Drosophila melanogaster: one gene and its partners. The protein of the gene in region 1 interacts with the protein of each later gene in a biochemical or structural test. Each region holds a gene or a part of one and is shown on either strand. Other genes may lie near its edges.

Region 1 (7,780 bases):
GGACCTGGACAATAAACAGCTATCCACAATATCTGGTATCTTGTTTTGCTTCTACGACGGGTAAAAATACCCTTCAATTAAGTTTTACTCGCAGCGTGGTCCTAATTTGCAGTATCACTGCCAACGTGTCACAATTAATTAAATTCATTAACCACTAAATAAATTATTTGAATTTGTAAGCCTTTCTGTTTTAATTAATTTATGTAAATTCTTTTTACAAAATTAACGTGGATAAAACTGCAAGTAACTTTCATAAATAATATCTGTTTCTAATAACTGACCAGCAAATGGAAGTTATTGCCTATAATTTGTGTAATCAAAATCGGAATAGTAAAGTATTAACTAAGTTTCATTTATTTGTAGTCGCTCCGTCATTGGAAAAAATGCTTTCTATTGGCCTGTTAATTAAATAAACTTTGTCATCTGTCGAATACAACGTGGAACTCTTTGAATATAAATAATTTATATTTATTAGGCCAGTTGAGTAATTAAAAAAAATACAACTGACTTTCGCTTAAGACGAAGCCACAGCAACGATCTTTAATTGGAAAATCGTTCTAAACAAGGAATTCTAGGGGTACAAGCAACTTTAACGATAGAGATGGTCGGCCTGCAAGTTAGAGGCAATCTCGGACTCCCACTTGTCGCCGTTGCAGAGAAGCTTCTCCTTGTTGTACAGCAGCTCCTCGTGCGTCTCCGTGGAGAACTCGAAGTTGGGTCCCTCGACGATGGCGTCCACGGGACAGGCTTCCTACGCGGGGGGACAAAAAGATGCAATTAGTTTCTAGTAAATTGTGGCGCCACTTTGCTCCTCCTCACCTGACAGAATCCGCAGTAGATGCACTTGGTCATGTCGATATCGTAGCGTGTGGTACGTCTGCTGCCATCCGCGCGCTCCTCCGCTTCGATGGTGATCGCCTGTGCGGGGCAAATAGCCTCGCATAGCTTGCAAGCGATGCAGCGCTCCTCTCCACTGGGATAACGACGAAGGGCATGTTCTCCGCGGAATCGCGGGCTCAGTGGTCCCTTTTCAAAGGGATAGTTGATAGTGGCCGGTTCCTTGAAGATGTGCGCCAGGGTGACGGCAAATCCACGTAAGAGTTCACCGAAGAACATGGTGGATGCAGCACGGTCCGTGATGTCGGCAAACTCCATGCTCAGTTCCTTGTTGTTTACATACACATAGCCCTTGGGAACCTCGACGATATCTTTGGGTTCTGCTCGCTGGGCGGCCAGCAGCCGGGCTCCATGGCTGCCAAACAGGCGCTGTCCTGTGGGGAGAACATTTTACCATTAAATAACATGCTTAAGTCGAAAAGTTATACTGAATTAAGCGAGTTTAGACTTTTGTTTTGGTATGACATAAGCTTACATAACCTCACTCGCCGCGATTTCCACGAAAATGGGAAATTTCCCGGAAAACAACGGATGTGAGGGGATGGGTCGCCACCTACCGTTGCGCGATGCGGTGAAAATTCGCATAGTTAGCGACATTTTTGCGACCAAATTAAACTAAAATTGCCAAAGAAGTTGTTTTGCTATTGAATTTGCCCGAACAAATTAGAGCTGGGTTTCTTTCGATTACCCACATAAATTCAATGCTCAAATATCGTATTCAAATATATCGTAGTTTCTTAATGACATAAACCAAAAATAAAATATGAGATATAAAATATAAATAATGTAACAAAGAATTAAATATTCGTGTAAAAATAATAAATAATATTAACAAATAATCCAGAAAGACTGTGAGAAAAAAAAGAAAACATTTTTTTTATACGAATACCCCTAATAAAAACCTTAAAGCTTCGATAATGGCACTATCGATATAAATTCGCACTTTTACACTTTTCAACATTGACTTTGAAAATCCCCACCACTACAATTTACAGTTTAACTTTTCCCGCTACGCGGAATTGTGAAATTTTTCATTGTTTATGTCGGAAAATGGATCAGGAGGTTATGGATTTCTTTGACTTCTCGAAGGAGTTGAAGCGCGTGGCCGCCGCCCCGCAAGGCTACATCAGCAGCGATCCGAGGCTAATGGCCACGAAGTTCAAATCATCCGAAGTGCCCAACCGCGAGTTGATCGGCACCGACTATGTCAGCAAAATCGTCGCCAAGGAAAAGTGTCTCCTGAACGGGGTGAGAACTGGAAGCTTGCGTCAGCACTTCTGTTTGTTTATGTGTAATTCGATCCAGACGCTGCTCAACGAACAGCCTCAAGGCAAACGCATTCGAACGCTGGACGATTTGGACACCGACGATGAGGGGGAAGAGACCGAAATTCGCCGGGATGACGAGTACTACAAGAAGTTCAGATTCAATCTGAATCGCGACAAGAACTTGTCCATCTACGCCAAGCGCGAGGAAATATTGGCGGCCATCAATGCTCATCCGGTAGTCATTATTAAGGGCGAAACAGGATGTGGCAAGACCACGCAGGTGAGCAAAACTTAAATAAAATCCTAACTTTTTTATTAAGTCTATATTTTAATAAAGCCAACGCAAGCGAATTATAATTAAACCTTTTATCCTCGACTTTTGAAATTCAAATCCAAACTAGTCGAGAGTATTTAATATTATATAATAAATAATAATCTTCAATATACTTTTCAACTCTTTATATAAGAATAGCAAAGCCTAGGAAACTTATATCCTATATAGTTATATATCCTATCCTACATACTTAAATACAATGAATATTTTATGTGCAACAGATAAACAAGATCACATCGCGCAAAAATGCTAGTTATTTAATTATGTAAAAGTTTTATAAACTAACTCAAGTATCCAAAATAGCTTTGAGTTCTTCTTCCGTGACCTCCTCGCTTTCACCCACTTCCATTTCCTCGTCGTCACTAAACTCAATCATCTCATACTCTTGCTGCACGTCTGCTGGAAGTTCCCTCTGAAAAACGGTGGCCGAGGACATGCGGCGTTGATAAGTCTCGTTGACCTCCAGCTGCACTTCTAGTTCATCCGCCTGGTTTTGCGGCTCCCGTTCCTCGACGCCGTACATGGCCTTGTTCCGCACCCTCTGGCGCACTTCCAACTGGTTGCCTGTAGATGTTGTGGTACAATTCTCATCTGGAGTACTCTTTCTAGCTCCTAGAACACTTTGGATATCGGCAAAGACTTCTCGCAAATGGCCGAATATTTGAGAGGGCGGCAAAGCGTGCTCATGACCAGCCGCCAATTGCTTCTTTTGGGCATTGTATGCCGCTTCCAGTTCACACAATGGCTGGCTTGCCTGGTCCAGTGCTCGCAGACCCTCCAGTTCGTATGTGAGACTGACGCCGTTCGCACGCTGTTGCTTCTGCATCAAGGCACTCTGCCTCTGTTCCTTGGCACCCGCTACGGTCTCCACACGGTCGTAGTCCACCAGATTGTCCAACCCCTGGCAATAGTCGAGCGCGGTGAAGCGGAAGGCCTGCTCCTGGGTCAGGCGCCACAGCATGTAGGCGATCTGATGAGTGTCCTTCCGCTCCGGACTATCCTTGCGCAGATCTAGAGCGTAGTCTGTTAGTTCTTGCCAAGTGCGCGGTGAGACCTCGATCTTAATAAAGTTGTGCGTGGGCTGCTTGTAGTAGATTACGTAGAGCAGAAAGAAACCTCCGATCCTTTGAGCGCGAGATGCCGGGAAAACGTCCCCGGTGGTGCGTCGGGAGCACGACAGTCGCTTGGCCACATGCAGGGCCGCCAGTGTGGTGGCTATCACCTCTGTGTGGTTCGTCTGGGCAGTGAAGAGGTGCTGCAGCTGCAGTTCTCGCCAGCACCGGCAGAACACCTCGAACTCGCAGTTTTCGCCATCATTAACCAATCGCTGAAATCGTTGCACCAGCTCCCAGCAGTCGTCAAAGATATTCAGCTCCATTCTGAATCTTAATTACGCGAAATATATGCGCATCTCTCATTCAAAAGAGCCTCAAAATATAAACAATAACATTCGCCGGGAATAAGCTTTTACAACACTAGCCGGGGAGTTCATCGATAAATATGTAGTGTTCATAACTGCTTAGCTATTTTCAAAAAAAAAGCGCAAAACTATAAAAACTGTTTGAAAAATGTGTAAAAAATACAATTACATTTTTGTTCTGCTTTGTAAATATTTAGATATTTTCTTATAATTATTATTAGTATTCAATCAATTATTCTTACAGGTGCCCCAATACATTTTGGATGAGGCCTATAAAAGCGGTAAATACTGCAACATTGTGGTGACACAACCCCGGCGCATAGCTGCCATCTCCATAGCGAATAGAGTTTGCCAGGAGCGCGAGTGGCAGCAGAACACGGTGTGCAGCTTCCAGGTGGGCCTGCACCGCCCGAACTCTTTGGAGGACACTCGTCTGTTGTACTGCACCACCGGGGTGCTGCTGAACAATTTGATTAACAACAAGACGTTGACCCACTACACCCACATTGTGCTGGACGAGGTGCATGAAAGAGACCAGAACATGGATTTTCTTCTGATCGTGGTGCGTCGCTTGCTGGCCACGAACTCGCGGCATGTAAAGATTATCCTGATGTCGGCCACCATCGATGCCAAGGAACTGTCCGACTACTTTACCACCACTAACTCAATTCCGCCAGTGATCACCACCAATCATCGACGTAAGCACTCGATCGAGAAGTTCTACCGTGACCAGCTCGGCAGCATTATTTGGAATGAGGAAGATGTGGGACACCAGCAGGTGCCAGAAATCAACAAACACGGTTACAGGGCAGCGGTAAAGATCATAGTGATTATTGACAACATGGAACGGAAGGCTGCAATCCAGTCGCGGCAGAGCTATGACGAGGCCCTGCGCTATGGAGCTGTGCTCATCTTTCTGCCAGGCATCTACGAAATCGACACGATGGCAGAAAATCTTACTTGTATGCTGGAAAACGAGTAAGCATTGTTATCCGTGAGAATTGCTCACTGTACAAATTTTGAAGTAGCTAAAATTGTATCATTATAATTTCCAATCTTTATTGTTTAATTGCAGCCCCAACATTAAGGTCTCTATTGTTCGCTGTTTTTCGTTAATGACACCGGAAAACCAACGGGATGTCTTCAATCCCCCGCCTCCCGGTTTCCGCAAGATCATTCTGACCACAAACATTGCTGAGAGCTCCATCACGGTGCCAGATGTCTCATACGTTATTGACTTTTGTCTTGCCAAAGTAAAGGTAACCGATACGGCTAGCAGCTTCTCTTCGCTCCGCTTAACCTGGGCGTCCAAAGCCAATTGTCGTCAGCGTGCCGGCCGCGTTGGTCGTCTTCGTAGTGGACGCGTTTACCGTATGGTTAATAAACACTTCTATCAGAGGGAAATGCCCGAGTTTGGAATACCAGAAATGTTGCGCTTGCCCTTGCAAAACTCGGTGCTCAAGGCCAAAGTGCTGAATATGGGATCACCGGTGGAAATCTTGGCATTGGCTCTATCTCCGCCGAATCTGTCGGACATACACAATACAATATTGCTTCTGAAAGAGGTGGGTGCTCTGTACTTAACAGTAGACGGCATCTACGACCCGTTGGATGGCGATCTTACCTACTGGGGCACAATCATGTCTCGGCTGCCGTTGGACACACGTCAGTCCCGGCTTATCATATTGGGTTATATTTTTAACATGCTCGAAGAAGCTATTATTATAGGTAAGCGGGCAACAGTAGTTAAGCTTTAGGATAACGGGGGGAATATTCTTTGTCTTGCATTAATGATTTTTTTTTTAAATATGTTGTAGCTGCTGGCTTATCGACGCCTGGCTTGTTTGCGCACGAAGGTGGTAGGTCTCAATTAGGCGATTCATTTTGGATGCACTATATCTTCTCCGATGGATCTGGCTCCGACTTGGTGGCCATTTGGCGCGTGTATCTGGTAAGTTATGCGATGCATTACTAATAGCGTAATAACTTGTTTCTTCGGCAGACATATTTGAACATTGTGGAAAATGGTCACGACCAGGAGTCTGCTATCCGTTGGGCCAAACGTTTCCACGTCTCCTTGCGGTCACTTAAGGAGATACACTTGTTGGTGCAGGAACTGCGTGTGCGATGCACGCATCTCGGTCTGATTCCGTTTCCTGTTAATCCTAACCAAATGATGGACGATCGTGAAAAAGCGATCATGCTCAAAGTGATCATTGCAGGTGCCTTCTACCCAAACTACTTTACGCGTTCCAAAGAGTCGTGTGCAGACACAGATCGCAATATATACCAGACAATATCGGGCCACGATCCCTGCCGCACCGTATATTTTACCAATTTTAAGCCTGCCTACATGGGCGAGTTGTACACTAGGCGCATTAAGGAGCTATTTCAGGAGGTCAGGATTCCGCCGGAAAACATGGACGTTACTTTTCAAGAGGGTTCGCAAAAGGTCTTTGTCACTTTCAAACAGGATGACTGGATTGAAGGTTCATCTAAGTATGTTCCTGTGTCGGGCAGAGTTCAAAGTGAGGTGTACAAGGCAGTTATGATGCGACAAAATCGTGTCGAACGGCCAATCCACATAATGAAGTGAGTTATCAAGGCTTTTACTATCGATTATGAAGCTTATGTTTAATCATTTACAGTCCGAGTGCATTTATGAGCTACGTACAGCAGCGAGGGATTGGAGATGTGATTGAGGGCCGTTGGATTCCACCCACAAAGCCTTTAAACGTCGAGCTTCTTGCGCTGCCATCTGTCTTTGACAAAACTATTTCAGGGTCGATTACTTGCGTAAGCTGCTGCACCACACAAATCTAGAGAATTTCAAAGTATTTTTTTTATTTTTCCTATCTTACAGATCGTCAACTGTGGCAAGTTCTTTTTTCAACCCCAATCTTTTGAAGAGTGCATTCGAAATATGTCTGAAATTTTCAATGCTCCACAGCAACTAAGAAATTACGTAACTAACGCGAGTGCCATCGCAAAGGGCATGATGGTGTTGGCCAAACGCGATAGTTATTTCCAGCGCGCCACAGTGATCCGGCCAGAGAATCAGAGCAATCGCCAACCAATGTTCTACGTTCGCTTCATCGACTATGGTAATTGCACTTTGCTGCCCATGCAGCTAATGCGTTTGATGCCGAGAGAGCTAACTGAACAGTACGGCGACCTTCCGCCACGTGTTTTTGAGTGCAGGCTGGCAATGGTTCAGCCCTCTTCAGTGGTCAGTGGAAACAATAGGTGGTCCACCGCGGCTAATGATATGCTCAAGACAGTGGCCCAATGCGGTCTAATCGATATTGAGGTGTATTCGCTTTTCAATAATGTAGCAGCTGTTCTCATTCATATGAGAGATGGCATAATCAACGATAAGCTAGTAGAGCTTATGTTGTGCCGTCGATCCGACGAAGATTATATGTCTAGAAAAGATCATGATTTCCGTTTGCGACGTCAAGAATCTGCCCGGAACTTGAGCACGGCGCAGCGTCAACAGATCAATGAGGAATATCTGCGATCCTGTCAGCTGCCGCAAGACCACGATCTACCACCGCCTCCGCTGGAAAAGTGCAAGACCGTTGTAATGTTGAAAGGACCCAACAGTCCTTTGGAATGTACTATGCGATCCATTACTCGTGTGGGCTTAAGTAAACGGGTGAATATAGACCATTTGTCCGTTAATGCACTTCTCCTGGATGCTGATCCTCAAGATCACCACGATCATTTGATAGTGGCCCACGAAATCGCGGAGAGTAGAAACGGGCAGACACTGACAGCCCGTGGAACCACCCTGATGCCCAATGTGCAGGGATTCGGTGCTCTAATGGTTATGCTATTTAGTCCCACTATGCAACTTAA
Region 2 (7,716 bases), on another chromosome or scaffold:
AGTACAAAATTTTGTAAGCTTTGTTACTGCTAGTTCATGAATCACGGTATTTTTTTTTCCATTCTTTGGACTTACCTTAGGAAAATATACATGTACTTCTCGCAAAGTTTGTAACCTAAAATGTAATGCGTTTATAATCTGGGAATTGATCTGCATAACCAATTGTATACACTATTATTGTAAATTGGCAATGAATTATTTTGGCAGAAGGAAGATCGACTGAATTCCAGTACAACACATTTATAATAGCACATAATGTGAGTTCCAATAGATTTACTTTTAAAGACAAAGATTGGATGTGATTTGATTACGGTACTCTAAGATTAGTGGTGTCCCAGGTCCTTGGGGTCGGGCTTGCCGTACTGCTTCTCCCACCAGGTCACAAACTCCTTCTTGCGCTGCTCCCGCTTGGCAAAGTACTCGGGGTACTGGGCCTTCTCCAGGGGATGCCAGTAGTCCAGGACCCAGTCGGGCGGAATCACCTCTCGTTCGAAAGCACAGCCACCGGCACTGTTGGCAACTACAACGATAACACACGTTAGATACACAGACATATGACCATACGTTCAATTTGTTTACAGTTTCGGGGCTGGAAATGCCTTGTCTCGAAAAGCTCCCTTTGTCCACAGGCTAGGAGGCGGATGCCCTCGCCCAGATCTTTGGAGCGGTTTTCGTCGAAGCGAGCACGCAGCTGCACAGCGCGGTAGCGGTAGACATTGCTGATGGGCATTAAGAAACAACCAAGATGCACTTGCTCATTATATAATATTTGGGAATTCTGCGCCGAGTGCACTCACCGTCGGTCGTACCACGACTCTAAGTTGCGCAGTGCTCGCTTGTACAGGCTGCACACCTGGCGCTTGTGCGAGACGATTGCCAAGGGAACTTGGGCCATCGTTTTTTACTATATTGGTTAAATTGTATTAATTTGCTACCGCAGCCGAGGCAACAACAACAACAGCTGTCAAAAGTCCAGTGCTCTAAAGCCCTGCGCCTGAAAATATGTGTTGCGAAGCGAAAAATAATTTTAGAGAACGGCAACTCTGAAATGAATGGAAATTCAAAAAATATTTATATATTTGATTTAAATTTTCTATACAAAAGCAATGGCTATCTTTGCATTTTATACAAGCTTTTGTTATTGCAAGAAATCGAAATGATCCTGTCTAGAGTAGATACCTATAACCAAACACTTTTAATGCTTAAAAGCCTTCTTGCTACCCTATTTTATTTATAAAATAAGACTATTTTGACAAATCTGTTATAATTGTATATTAATTACAATTTTTTTTAGGAATAGTTAAAGAAACCAAGAAAGTCAGTCCCATTTTTGCATTTTTTGCAATTCCCTTTGAATTTGCGAGGAACAAGAAAGTAATTTTGTAAATACATCTAGCGAAATGCTTTAATAAATTATAACTGTTAACAAATACTCTTAAGATATAAATATAAAATGTCGTTAGTCCTCTGGCTGCATAACATTCATTATGCATTGAACAATATGCTCTGGTATTTTCAGAGGCGTTTCGCACAACTCGCCCGTTTTTTTGTCCAGCATGTAGATTTCGTTGAGCACACGATCCTCGTGCTCTGGATCCAAGGACGAGACGAGAGCCAGAGATCCTTCCGCAAGCTCGGCGAGAATTTGTTCGATATCCGGTTCGGTAGTGGACGGCGGAATGGGGTCATCCGGCGTTATAAGTTCATGATCTTGGTCTTCAATGAAGTTTATTAAATATGTCTCTGCCTTTCGATTGGGCGTCTCTGGGGCGGGTTCGACGTCGCTGACATAGCTTAGGGTACCATCATCCATATTGATAATAGTTTTATCACGTGGCTTGTTTACATCTACGTCATATTCCACCGGATCATCCATGAGGAGGCCATTGAGCTCAGCCTGCAGTTCTCCCCCCGTTGGCAAATGACTACTCGTTTGTTCGGTTTTGATCGTTTTTTCCTGCTTAATGGCCGCCACATCAGACAGGCTTTCCGTTGCCGCTGGAACTGAAACCTTGGGAGATCGTCGCTTAGCCTTTGGCTTACGTTTGGCCGGCGCACTTCCGTCGTTCTCATCGGTCTCCAACTCCTTTCGCCTTTTGGCCCAGGCGTGCTTGCCGAGCTTTGTACTCGTTACGTGCTCGTTTTCGTAGACAACATCACCATCGTTTAGTGCCCTTGAGGCCTTGCTTTGCTGCTGTACTCGGGAACGCTAAATATAATTAAAAAATGTAATGGTGATTACAGTCAGCTACAAATTATTTACCTTCTTAGGGTTTCCCGGAAGAGCTCGTGCGATTTCCCTCCACTTGCGATCATTTTCTTCCCTTTCGCGGTCCTCCTCTTCCAGTTGATCCTTGAGCTCCTGAATGTTGAAGGCCTTAGGATAGAGGAGTGCTTTGTTTATGAGCTGCCCATTGGTTCGCTCTTCCTTTTTGTACTTCAGCTTTAGATCCCGACGTGAACGTGTTGGAAACATTTGGCACATCAGCGAGAAGTCCGTCCCAATGATCTGCAGGCTGCGGTAGAAGCGGACGGTCTCATCGGAGGTCCAGTATGGCGTGCGCTTGTGGCGTTTATAGAATCCATTATCTCCTGCAAAGTATAAAATTCGTTAAGTATTCAACTTTTATGTATTAACTCTGCGGCGCACCCGTAGTCTCGTCCATTAGGATTAACGATGAGTTGGCTAGCACCTTGCGGGCCTCCACCTCGGCCGTGGTTTCGATCTCCAATGTTTTCTCATCAATGATCATCTCGCCATTGGCATCAAGCTTTAGCTGAGGCACTAACATAGCGGATGTGGACTCTCCCTTGGGTTCCAATAGTTGACTGACTGCGGGCTTGGAATCATCGCCACCAGACTCATCCTTGATGGTCGTCACCGACTGTTTGGGCACCATGGGATTGTTCTCCGGATTGTAGAAGATCATGTCCATCATCTTGAACGTGGACTTGTCGGGTACACCCTTATTGAAACGGGTTTCAAAGTCTCGCCGGGCATTTAACCGCTGTCCAATTTGACTTTGCGACCTATCGTCGCCCTTCCTCTGCTTGCTACCTCCTTCGGAATAGGTGGAACAGGTGGATTCGGTGCGAATGCGTCCCATGCCCGGACTAGCGGGCGGTAGGTATTTATAGGGGGACGGAGGCATAGGCGAGTGCACCTGCTGCTGCAAAGGAGTTCCCGATGAAGAACCGCTAAGATAGCGCTCTCGCCGCGTGGGCGTGGCTGGCGACTGATAGTCGCCCTCATAATCACTGGCCATGGGTGAGCCCACGAAGCTGTTGCGTCGCTGGCCAAATACCGGAGTGGGTCGCACACGCTGACGGGCTTGAGCCTTGCTGGGCGACATAGGGAAGCCATTGGTGGTCTTCTGCAAGTCCATCTGAATGACATTGTCCTCGAGGTCCGAGTGGAATACCTCTTCCAGCTGCCCAGCCGAGCTTGCGGGCATCTTGAAGGCGATTGCATCAGCCTCTAGTTCCAATTCCGCAGCAGGGGTCGATGCAACGGGCGGGGACTCAGCCTCTGCTTCCACCACCACCGCCTCCTCCTCCTCATCCTCCTTTTTCGCCGTTGGGAGCTCCTCCCTGCGTGGCTTGCGTTTGATAAGCGACAGGTTGGCCGGAGCCTTGATGCGCTGGCGCCGCATGGACATCCTGCCTGGGTACTCTTAGGCTTCTTCCAGGCTCAACCGCAGTTTCACACATCAAATCGAATCAAAATCTGCGCAACAAAAACAATGCGGCCGCAACCACGAGTTTCCCAAGTATAGTGTTGGCTAACGCCAAAGAGCATTCACAGTGTCCTGGCCATGTAAGAAAGTAGACAACCAATTTATTTAAAGTTTCAAAATGGCTATAAAAAACTTGCAGTACCCAAAAGATTTTTTAACAAATAAAAAAAAAACGAGATAACTGCGTTATTAGAAAGCATGTCAAGTAAATTTATTCGCAGTGTCAAAAATAAATTGGTATAAATTATGGCACACTTCACCAGATTCACGTCAAAAATTTGTACACAGTAAAAGTTTGGTTGAATTTAATATTATTTGTGTTTCAGTGTTGCAGAAAAGTGTGATCACTGATCGTAGCTGTCACCTCTCAGCAGGCGGTTTGCGATTTTCCAACACTGCTGCCTGTAACGGCACAACAACAGGAACAACAACAGCGGAATAACAACAGAAGCAGCAGACAAATTGCAAGTTGCACGTTTTTTCTAATCGGGCAAACATGATAAGTCCGCCCAGATCCTAACCAAGCTCTCGTGCAGTAACGCTTCCGGCAAACCTATCGGGTGTGTCCTGGCTAGAAGTACTAAATTCCCAAAGTTTTCTGGCGACAAATGTGCCAAGTGTGCGGGGGCACAGTAATAGCGAAGGAGCATTAAGAAGTCGCCGCACTTTTGAGTAGGTTGTTATGCAAGCGGGCGGCCGACGGACAAATTGAATTAGCCGGCATGCTGTTCAATCGATTTGTACTGGCCATCAAGAACCAGTCCCGAGAAACGCTGCGTGCCTGGAGCTACCAATGCGAGTCGATTTTCGCCCAGCGCTCGCGTCGCGTTCAGCAGTTGTTCAGTTTCTACCAGTCGGTGTATGGAACTCAGGGTCTGAAGCAGCTATGGCGCGCCTACTACCGCCGGGAGCTGCAGCCTCCGCTGCGGGGAATGGTGATGAGTGCAGTGGGTCTCGTCGGGCTGAATATCAAGCGAATGGGTAGCGATGGCTTCGATTGGAACAAGGAGCGCCTGGCCTTGTCCAACTTTGATCTGTGCCGCCGGGATATTGAGTTTATCAACGCCCTGCCCAACAATCAGCTGTGCGACCGCTGCCAGGCCAAGAAGATGAAATACTGCTACTGTCAGCTGGGCAACCAGCGCTGCAAAAAGGGCCAATCCCAGCCGTCCACCAGCAAAGAGGCGGAGACGGATCCGGACACCAGCATCAGCAATTGTCTGCGACCGTTGGATCTGGACGTGCGCAATGCACCGGCCGGAACGGTACGCATTCAGGCCCAGGACGACCAAAAATGGGAGCCGTACTTTAGCAAAAACGAATTCAGCATTTGGCGGCGGCAGGAGCGCTCCTCCTTATACTCATACAAGGTAAGAGGCCATCTAAAAGTTTTTTAGGGCTCACTTTTATGCCGCCTTTCCGTTTGCAGGTTTATGCTCGATTCGACGACATCACAGCGGACGACTTCCTCCACGTTCAAACGGATTTGGATTACCGTCGCCAGTGGGACGACACGGCCCTAAGACTTGAGCTCATCAGCGAGGATCCCGTCCCGGGCAGCAACTCGCATCTGATATACTGGGAGATGCAGTGGCCACGACTGTTCGCCAATCGCGACTACGTCTATTGTCGCCGCTACATAAAAGACGACAACAAGAAGCTGATATTCATTTGCAACCGCGGAGCCACGCACAACACCTATCCGGCGTTGTCTGGAAAAGTTCGCGTCACTGACTATTGGAGCCTGATGGTCATCAAGCCCTTTCGCGGTTTCCATGAGCCAGGCCTCCACTTTGTCCTCACGTACTTCGACGATCCGGGCATACCCATACCGCAGAATATTAAGTCCTGGGTTACTCAGAAACAAATGCCCGAGTTCCTCACCAAGATGTACGTGGCCACCAAGAACTACGCCTGCTCACGGGCCATCAAGATGAAGGACATGTTTCACGGATTCGCGCTTATCAATGACGAATATACGGCTAATGAGCAACGCGGCAGTTGGTTGGGCAGTTTGAGCCGGCGCAAGGTCAATAGTAAACCCGAAGCAGGTCGTTAACTCCTTTACCATTATATACCTGGCTGCTCCCGCTCCCATGAGACCTCCCTGCCCAACAGAGCCACGTATCAAACCATCCGAAAGCCCAGTTCCATCTTATGTTCATCCCTTCGATCGGCTTTAAAATTCAGGCGAGAGAAATCGAAACCATTGAACATCAGAGCAAGTGTGCAATAGGTGGAAGTTTTGCTCTTAACATGAGTGCCACTTTGATGAGAAACTTAAAAATAAATATATACCTATATTAGCTATATGGCTAAACCAAAATATTTTAAGTTTAGAAATTGTTTTAAACGCAAATAGAAATTATTGAAATTAATTGTACAATAAAAGAAACGAAAATAGACACCCAGAGACTGAAGTCTACAAAAAAGCAATGTCTTGCATAACTATTGATATTTTACGGCATTAATTTTCATTCATGCATAACATTATCTACACCAGATAGTAACACTCGTGCTTATCAAATAATTGGTCAAGCATTATCTTGAATTACCTTTTTTCAATTACAATTTCTCACCCGAACTTCGGCTATTCTTATCGTGCACTGTATACAAATCAAATTGGCTTAAGAGGATTACACTAATCTGATATGGTATTTAACATACTAATTTATATTTTTAATTAAATTTTATTATTTTATTATAGAGGGATAAGCGCAGTAAAAATGAAATTATACTATTAGTTATAACATAATTTATTAGTATGCTATATAGTTACAAAATGCGCATACATTCTATAAAATATTCGATAGTCTAGACGACATTCAAGCTGATTGTAAACTGAACGGAACGAATACAGTTTATGGTAATACAAAAAGTGAGATTGCAAAGTGTTGTGGGAGAAGCATCGTTATACTTTGCAACAGCGTATCACAGCTCTGTGCGGTCCGCTGAGGTAGGCGGGTTGTTCATATAGGCGATAAAGTCCTTGCTGGTGCGTCCGCCATTGTAATCCAGCTTGGTTTTGAGGTAAGAGAAGTACAGAATGGTGGGATATCCGCGTACGTTATACTTTGCGCAGAGCGCGGCAAGCTTTGTGCAGTCGATGGCGACAAACGCTATCCGAGGATCATCCTGTAAGGCCGTGGCAGCCGCTGTAAACTCCGGTTTTGTGTGCTTACAGTGTCCACACCCTGAAGACGGTTAGTCTTTAGTAGAGCTTTAAATATGTTTAACAATCAAGCGGCAAAACTTACAGGGTGCATAGAACATGACCAGCGCATGCTTTTTCCTCTTCAGCGTCGAACTGAAGTTGTCGTCATCCAGAAATAGGACTTCCTTGCTGTCCTCCTCCTCCTCCCAACTCTTTTCGGGTGGCGGAGGCGGTGGGGGCTCCTTGGGATCTCTCATAAATTCAACAATTTTCGATGCTTCGCGTACATTTACTTCAAACTTAAAGACGCCATTCGAGAAAAACTTAACAGTTGGATAGCCCTTGACTTTGTATTTCTCTGCGATTGACGGCTCCTTCGTTGCATCCAACGCAGCCAAAAGGCCGGGAATCTTTTTCTGCTTCATCTCCAGAGCGGCCTTTTCGTATTCCGGTTTCATGCGCTTACAGTGTCCGCACCAGGGTGCATAGAACATGACCAGGGCGGACTTCTCGTCCTTCAGAGCGGGCTCAAAACCCTGCGAGGTGAGATGGACAATCTCCGAGTTGGTATCCGCCGACCATTCGGGTTCCTTGGGCTTTGGCGTTGGCTTGGCATTTGGATTGAGCATAAAAGACACCAAAGCCTCCTTGTTGTTCTCTCCTTCGTATGTAAAGCGCAGCTTGCCGTTTTCAAAGTAAATCAGGGTGGGAAAACCTGTAAATGTATCGTTTAATTTAAAACTAAGCAAAAATTGTTAACTTACCAGTTATGTTGAACATTTTGCGTATAGGAGCGTTCTCCTGTCGCTCTACATTCATAGCCGC
Region 3 (6,429 bases), on another chromosome or scaffold:
GTTTCCCAATACAGTGACTTCGATTGAAAGGAATAACCCTATGTGACAGCTGTCACACGTGCCAGTGATAAAAAATCCCGCACACCTTCCAACGGAACGCGTTAGTGTGTCGTTTTTTCGTAGCAGGCTATGTCGTTGGGCAACGCAGGGCGAATCGCTGTCTGTTGGTTTGTAGAAAAATCGTTTTTAGTTACACACACTTAGCTTTACTACATGGTGTTTGAAAATCCCGAAACAGGACTGTTTTGACCGTGGGTGGCGTCTACGCATTTGTGCTGTCAAAGAGATCCGTTGAGAACCGGCGTTACGAGAGCATGCGAGTGCGTGAGCGCATGAGGAAGGCAAACCAAGGGGATTACGACTCAAGCGCAGCATCGGACAGGCGATTCGATTACTAAGCGGCAGCATCCAGTACCTAAAACCCATCAGTAACACACCCACACCCACACAATGGCATTGCCCCAGATCAGCACCGCAGACCAGGCCAAGCTGCAGCTGATGCAGGAAATGGAGATCGAAATGATGTCCGATTTATATAACCGCATGACGAACGCTTGCCACAAAAAGTGCATTCCGCCGCGCTACTCCGAGTCGGAGTTGGGTGAGTACCATAGCCATATAGAATGCTGTATCTAGTTCGCAGCTCTTTCTATGACAATCACTTCAGGTTTCTCTTTGATTCGATTGATGAAATTTAAATAGAAATCTTGAAACTTGTACCACAATTCTACACTTGTAATTTTAATGCTTTCCGCACCCTACAGGCAAAGGCGAGATGGTGTGCATCGATCGCTGTGTGGCCAAATATCTGGACATTCACGAGAAGATCGGCAAGAAGCTGACGGCCATGTCCATGCAGGACGAGGAGCTGATGAAGAAGATGTCTAGTTAACCTGGCACCCATTAACCCACATTTCCGCTTAACCAATGTGCATTTTTGAAGCGCTACGATTGTTAGAGGTACATGTACAAAACACCCCGTTGTAGAGAATAAACCACAGATTTATGTGTGCTACATAATATCAGACCTCGTTGACACAGATTAATGCATTCAAAAGGTGGTGACAAAGCGCGACATTTCCGGCAGCATGACACTCAGATCCTCGATGTTGTTCTCCAGCGCACTCTCGTCCGTTGTGTCCAGTTCGCTGGTCCGCACGCTGTTCGCCCAGTCGGAGGAGTCTAGATCCTGTCCTGCTCCTCGCGCCTGATCCTCCTGCTGTTCCTGGGCGTTGAGGCTAGCTCGACTGGCGAGACCATCGCAAATATTGGCGGGATCTGACGGCAGCTCCACATAAAGGTTCGTCTGGCGCTGTAAAATTCAGAGAAATTCAACAAAAAGAAACACAAAGGTTAATTTGGAGCTTCACCAAAGCCATTAGCTGTAGATCGCGGTGCAGGCTGATGGGATTCTTGGACAGGTTGAGCATGTGAAGAGTCCGCAACTCCTCCAGTTGTGACCGCGTGGGCATCTCGTCAATACAATTTTCGTTGAGAAAAGCAAACCGCAGCTTCTGCATGGCCATCAGCATCCTGGGCAGCCGTCGCAATCGATTCCCCTTAAGATTCAGATGCACCAAATTTCCCAGCAACGCCATGGTCAGTGGCACTTCGCTGAGTTCGCAGCCCTCGGCTGTTAGCCAACGCAGGGAGGACAGAGCGCCTATGGCATCGGGCAACTTCTTCAAGGGATTTCCCCGTACGCCCAGCGTCTCGAGGTGTTCACAGTTACGAATTTCGTTGGGCAGCTCCAGGAGCCCAGTATTATTGCACCAGAACGTCTCCAGCTGAGTGAGGTATCCCAGTTCGGGTGGCAAACTACTAATGTTATTGCAGCTGATGTTGAGAAACTTCAGCCGGACCAAACGACAGATGCAGAGCGGGAATTCGTCCAGTTTATTGTAGTCCAACGTGAGGACCTGAAGTCGCATCAAACTACCAATGGAGGATGGAATCTGTGAGTCAAGGGATTGTGAGTCTATTATTTCATTGGCTATCTTGTGCACCAGGTGCCACCTTTGTTAGCTTGTTTTGGTTGAGGAACAGCTTCATCAGCGTCTCGCACTTCTCTATGATGCCCGGAACGTCGGAGATTTGGTAGTGGGACAGATTCAGGGAGAATGCCTTTTTGTATATGGCATCCTCGCAATTGGCCAGCACGTAGTTGTTGCGGAAAAACTGACAAACCTTCTCCATGTCGCCCTTATTAAGTGTTTACTTCTGCAGCACTTGAATTTGGTTGTCTTGGGTTCCAAACTATTTCACACTCTTTGGAAAACCTACTCTGTTTTTGGCGCTAGTAGCTTAGTTTTCAGGCCTTGTCTTTTGTAGTTTCGAACTGTCGCCCGATTTGCGCGTTTTTTCGTTTGTTTTGAGTGCATGTTATATAACGATTCTCGGAGTCTATATATGCACAAAAATCTCTATTTGCTGCACTCTCTTTTGCCTGCCTTCTCTTCCCAAGCTGATGAACTAAAATTAAAAATTTCATTTCCTGGGTAAAGGCATGCGCAAAATGCTAGATATTGGCAATAGGGTAGTTCTATTTTAAAATTGGTACATTGTCGCTTGTAATGTTTGTCGCACAAGGAAAGCTCAACATTTGACATTACCCATTCTCAGCTGCTAATTGGCAAAAAGCTCGTCTTTCTATCGGTTTATATAAATAGATTGTAAATTACCGAGCCGCTCTCAGTTGAAATTGAGCTCAGTGACTGGAAACTGCATCATGAGATCGTGTACTTTACTTGTTTTCATAGTGAGCACGCTGTTGTTTGCCGGTAAGTCAAGTGTGGGAACCACTAGAACCGCCACATCCATTCAACACTCTCTCTCTATTTTTCTCCAGTGACAAATGCGCAGCAGAATTATGATGGAAGAAATGGTCCCCATGAGTTCGGCACACCTGGAAACGGCATTTACATACGGGGTCAGAACGAAGGACCCTACACAGTGCCCGAAATGGGAGGAACGTTCCAAAACTCACCCTCAAGTGGGCAGCATTCCTACACCGATGAGCACGGAAATACTTACACCCATTCCTCAACGGCAACTGTCACAAGTTTGGCCTATTCAACCTTCGGTTTCAGCATGGGCGGCGTTCTCATTTTTCTAATTAGTTTAATAACCATTTAATTGCACTTTCCAAGTGCAAAAGTTCCAATTAATTAATTTTTAACACATCGTTTTTCAGTTCACGCCCACGAAAATCTATTGCTGAAACTGCATAGATGAGAATAACCATTTTCCTTCTAAGTATTATGCACTATTATTTATTCGCTATTTCTTTTGTTCACCTTATACACAAATTATTTAGCTATTAAACAGAAGTACAACAAAGTATACTTGATTCTTTTGAAAAGTGCGCCATTTTAGTTATCGATTGGCAACAACGTAAGGGAGAGATTTAACGTATAAGAAATATTTGAAACGTTGAAGTGTGATTTTTAACTAAACATTAAAATACAATCAAAGATAATTATTGTTATAATTATTTTCATACATATTTTCAATGAAATACTTAAATGCTAAGAACGTAACGATAAACGTAAGACCCAGCCAGCTATCGATAGTTGCGGCAAAATGCAGCGCTGACTTTGCCATTCTCACAAAACGAGCCACAGGTACAACGACGAACGCGGTTGCATTACATTATTATTATTATTACTATTAAATTAATTTCCCGCTCTGTGGGTATGCAATTAAAACCCAAAGTTGAGCCCGTTCAGCAATCTTGAATTGAGTCACTGAAAAATTCACCGGAGTCCACAATAAACCATCTGTAAGATGGACCAAATGCTAAGCCCCAACTTCTCGATTCCGAGCATCGGAACGCCGCTCCACCAGATGGAAGCGGACCAGCAGATAGTGGCCAATCCTGTGTACCATCCTCCGGCTGTATCGCAGCCGGATTCGTTGATGCCGGCACCCGGTTCCAGTTCCGTGCAGCACCAGCAGCAGCAACAGCAGTCGGACGCCAGTGGGGGATCAGGTCTCTTTGGCCACGAACCATCGCTCCCGCTGGCGCACAAACAAATGCAGAGTTACCAGCCATCGGCCTCCTATCAGCAGCAGCAGCAGCAACAGCAGCTCCAGAGTCAGGCGCCCGGCGGCGGTGGGAGCACTCCGCAGTCCATGATGCAGCCGCAGACGCCGCAGAGCATGATGGCCCACATGATGCCCATGAGTGAGCGGAGTGTGGGCGGTTCGGGGGCCGGAGGTGGCGGAGATGCCCTGAGCAACATCCACCAGACGATGGGCCCCTCCACGCCGATGACACCAGCCACACCAGGTTCCGCTGATCCCGGTATTGTGCCACAACTTCAGAACATCGTGTCCACGGTTAATCTGTGCTGCAAACTGGACCTCAAGAAAATAGCATTGCATGCGAGAAACGCCGAGTACAATCCTAAGCGATTTGCGGCTGTGATTATGCGAATCCGAGAGCCCCGGACCACCGCCCTTATTTTCAGCTCCGGCAAGATGGTGTGCACAGGGGCAAAGAGTGAGGACGACTCCAGACTGGCAGCGAGAAAGTATGCGCGCATCATCCAAAAGCTCGGTTTCCCTGTAAGACAAGACTTTACATTTCCTTTCTCTTCCCGGCGAATCTCTAACGCTTTCTCTCCCGCAGGCAAAGTTCCTCGACTTTAAGATTCAAAACATGGTCGGCTCCTGCGATGTCAAGTTCCCCATACGCTTGGAAGGCCTGGTGCTGACCCATTGCAACTTCAGCAGCTACGAGCCTGAGCTATTTCCCGGCTTAATCTATCGTATGGTGCGACCTCGAATCGTGCTCCTCATCTTCGTGTCCGGAAAGGTGGTGCTCACTGGAGCAAAGGTGCGGCAGGAGATCTACGATGCCTTCGACAAGATATTCCCCATTTTAAAGAAGTTCAAGAAGCAGTCATAAATAGGATAGCGCTTTATTAGTTCTGTACGTGTACGTTTTAAGGTCGGTAGTTCTGGAAGTCTGATCATATGAGTGGGAGCAGCCTGGCGAGCAGCTCCGATCGAGAATAAACCACAAAGTAATTTAGCTGTACGGACAGGCTTTTATTATTATTTTTTTTCCGTTAATTACTATTCGTAAAAATTTAGACAAGGACTATGAACGCGAATGAGGTTCCTACAGGCACTGGGCCATCAGGGCGCCCACGTTGTCGAACTCGATCTTCTCCGTAATGTTCTTCGTCTTGATTTTGTCGTCCTGCATGGCCACGATGACGAGTCCCTGGCCCTGGTTCTTCCAGCCATTGCGCTTGATCCAGCTCTCCAGCGTCGAGTCCTCGATGCCGCCGAGCAGCTCCTTAAGCAGGTCCTTGCGAATTGTCTGGAATGTGGTGCCCACCACATGCGAGACGAACTTGCGAATTGAATCGTGGAAGCCGGTGATGTGGCGGAACATGTTGCGGTTCACCTCGGCCCGCTGCCAGAAGAGGGTGAAGTCCGCCCGCTCCAGTATGTCGGCGAGGTCGATGATTGTCTGCACATTCTCGTCCTTCATCTGCTGGGGCAGCAGCAGGCACTTGGCCATCACGAAATCCGTGTGCGGCAGGCTGGTCAGTGACTTCAGCAGAATGGTGTACGTGATGTCGAAGTTCAGCATGTGCGGGTTGAACTGGTACAGTTTCAGCACGGCCAGGTTGGCCTCCAGGTCGTAGGTGTTGTTCTTAGCCTGATCCTGCACATAGGACTCCAGTGTTTTCAGATGATCTGGGTTGTAGCTGCGGCAAAAGCGAGGTTATGTTTTTACTAAGCATCATAACTGAGTGAATTTGTGCAGTTCTTACCGCTCGATGCAGCCCAGCATCTCCTGGATGGTCTGGCTCTGGCCGTTTTCCATTTTCACGAGGTGCGACATTTTCTACGGCTAATTTGTATGAAATTCGCAAGTTGACGTCGTGTTTTTTATTTTAATAAAGAAAGATTCGGTGTGACCGCAGTGCTGAACTCGCATTTGCCGATGCAAACAAACGGAATGCGGTCACATTGTGTGGGAATCTGCAAGGGGTATTCCTGAATTCCATTTCAAAATTCCCGTTACGCGAAGAAAATATTCGAATTTACAAACTAGTTTATTTTAAAGTTCGAATAACTCGCATTTCACTTTTGCTGGGTATTTAACCACTTTACTTACCTTACGTCTTGGGTTGCTCAAACATTCTGAAATCTTATAGAATCTCAAAAATTGTTTTTCTGCGCAACAAATAAAGTCCAATAAATAAAACACATATTTAAGTGGAAGTTTAATGATTTTAATACATATACACGTATGTATCTCATGTTTAAGGGAAGTTCCGTTCCGTTTTGCTTAACCTGGAAGTTCATGTGGAAGTGCATGTCTTGTGTAATCTACATGTTTTGTACAAAAGTATGTACACAATGGTATAAAAAGCAACTTAGTTGTAACCGGGATCGGAGGACTAT

What was found. The genes of interacting proteins can lie anywhere in the genome.
Region 2: the proteins of Pbp45 (region 1) and Bdp1 form a complex in vitro, tested with the Drosophila melanogaster proteins (one study listed by BioGRID).
Region 3: the proteins of Pbp45 (region 1) and Tbp form a complex in vitro, tested with the Drosophila melanogaster proteins (one study listed by BioGRID).

What each region holds. Positions count from the first base shown.
Region 1 is NT_033777.3:15,835,536-15,843,315, forward strand, and holds Pbp45 (PSEA-binding protein 45kD), read right to left. Parts: upstream 3,981-7,780; 5' UTR 3,878-3,980; coding exon 2,786-3,877; 3' UTR 2,611-2,785; downstream 1-2,610. Other genes in the region: Arpc3A (Actin-related protein 2/3 complex, subunit 3A), read left to right, coding at 1-15; ND-23 (NADH dehydrogenase (ubiquinone) 23 kDa subunit), read right to left, coding at 590-751, 820-1,271, 1,455-1,494; spn-E (spindle E), read left to right, coding at 1,948-2,145, 2,203-2,445, 4,164-4,897, 4,995-5,647, 5,737-5,870, 5,922-6,511, 6,568-6,715, 6,783-7,780.
Region 2 is NT_033779.5:13,370,045-13,377,760, forward strand, and holds Bdp1 (B double prime 1), read right to left. Parts: upstream 3,781-7,716; 5' UTR 3,660-3,780; coding exon 2,651-3,659; intron 2,593-2,650; coding exon 2,264-2,592; intron 2,210-2,263; coding exon 1,460-2,209; 3' UTR 1,383-1,459; downstream 1-1,382. Other genes in the region: ND-B22 (NADH dehydrogenase (ubiquinone) B22 subunit), read right to left, coding at 324-520, 580-719, 798-895; CG6565 (uncharacterized protein), read left to right, coding at 4,460-5,107, 5,167-5,796; CG9302 (uncharacterized protein), read right to left, coding at 6,669-6,931, 6,995-7,606, 7,656-7,716.
Region 3 is NT_033778.4:21,684,810-21,691,238, reverse strand, and holds Tbp (TATA binding protein), read left to right. Parts: upstream 1-3,596; 5' UTR 3,597-3,786; coding exon 3,787-4,569; intron 4,570-4,633; coding exon 4,634-4,912; 3' UTR 4,913-5,047; downstream 5,048-6,429. Other genes in the region: CG42497 (uncharacterized protein), read left to right, coding at 130-167, 239-398; Tim10 (translocase of inner membrane 10), read left to right, coding at 451-601, 765-892; CG10307 (uncharacterized protein), read right to left, coding at 1,052-1,312, 1,371-1,955, 2,017-2,196; BaraC (baramicin C), read left to right, coding at 2,729-2,780, 2,849-3,135; eIF3k (eukaryotic translation initiation factor 3 subunit k), read right to left, coding at 5,129-5,726, 5,793-5,863; stum (stumble), read right to left, coding at 6,426-6,429. UniProt on the Drosophila melanogaster protein: General transcription factor that functions at the core of the DNA-binding multiprotein factor TFIID.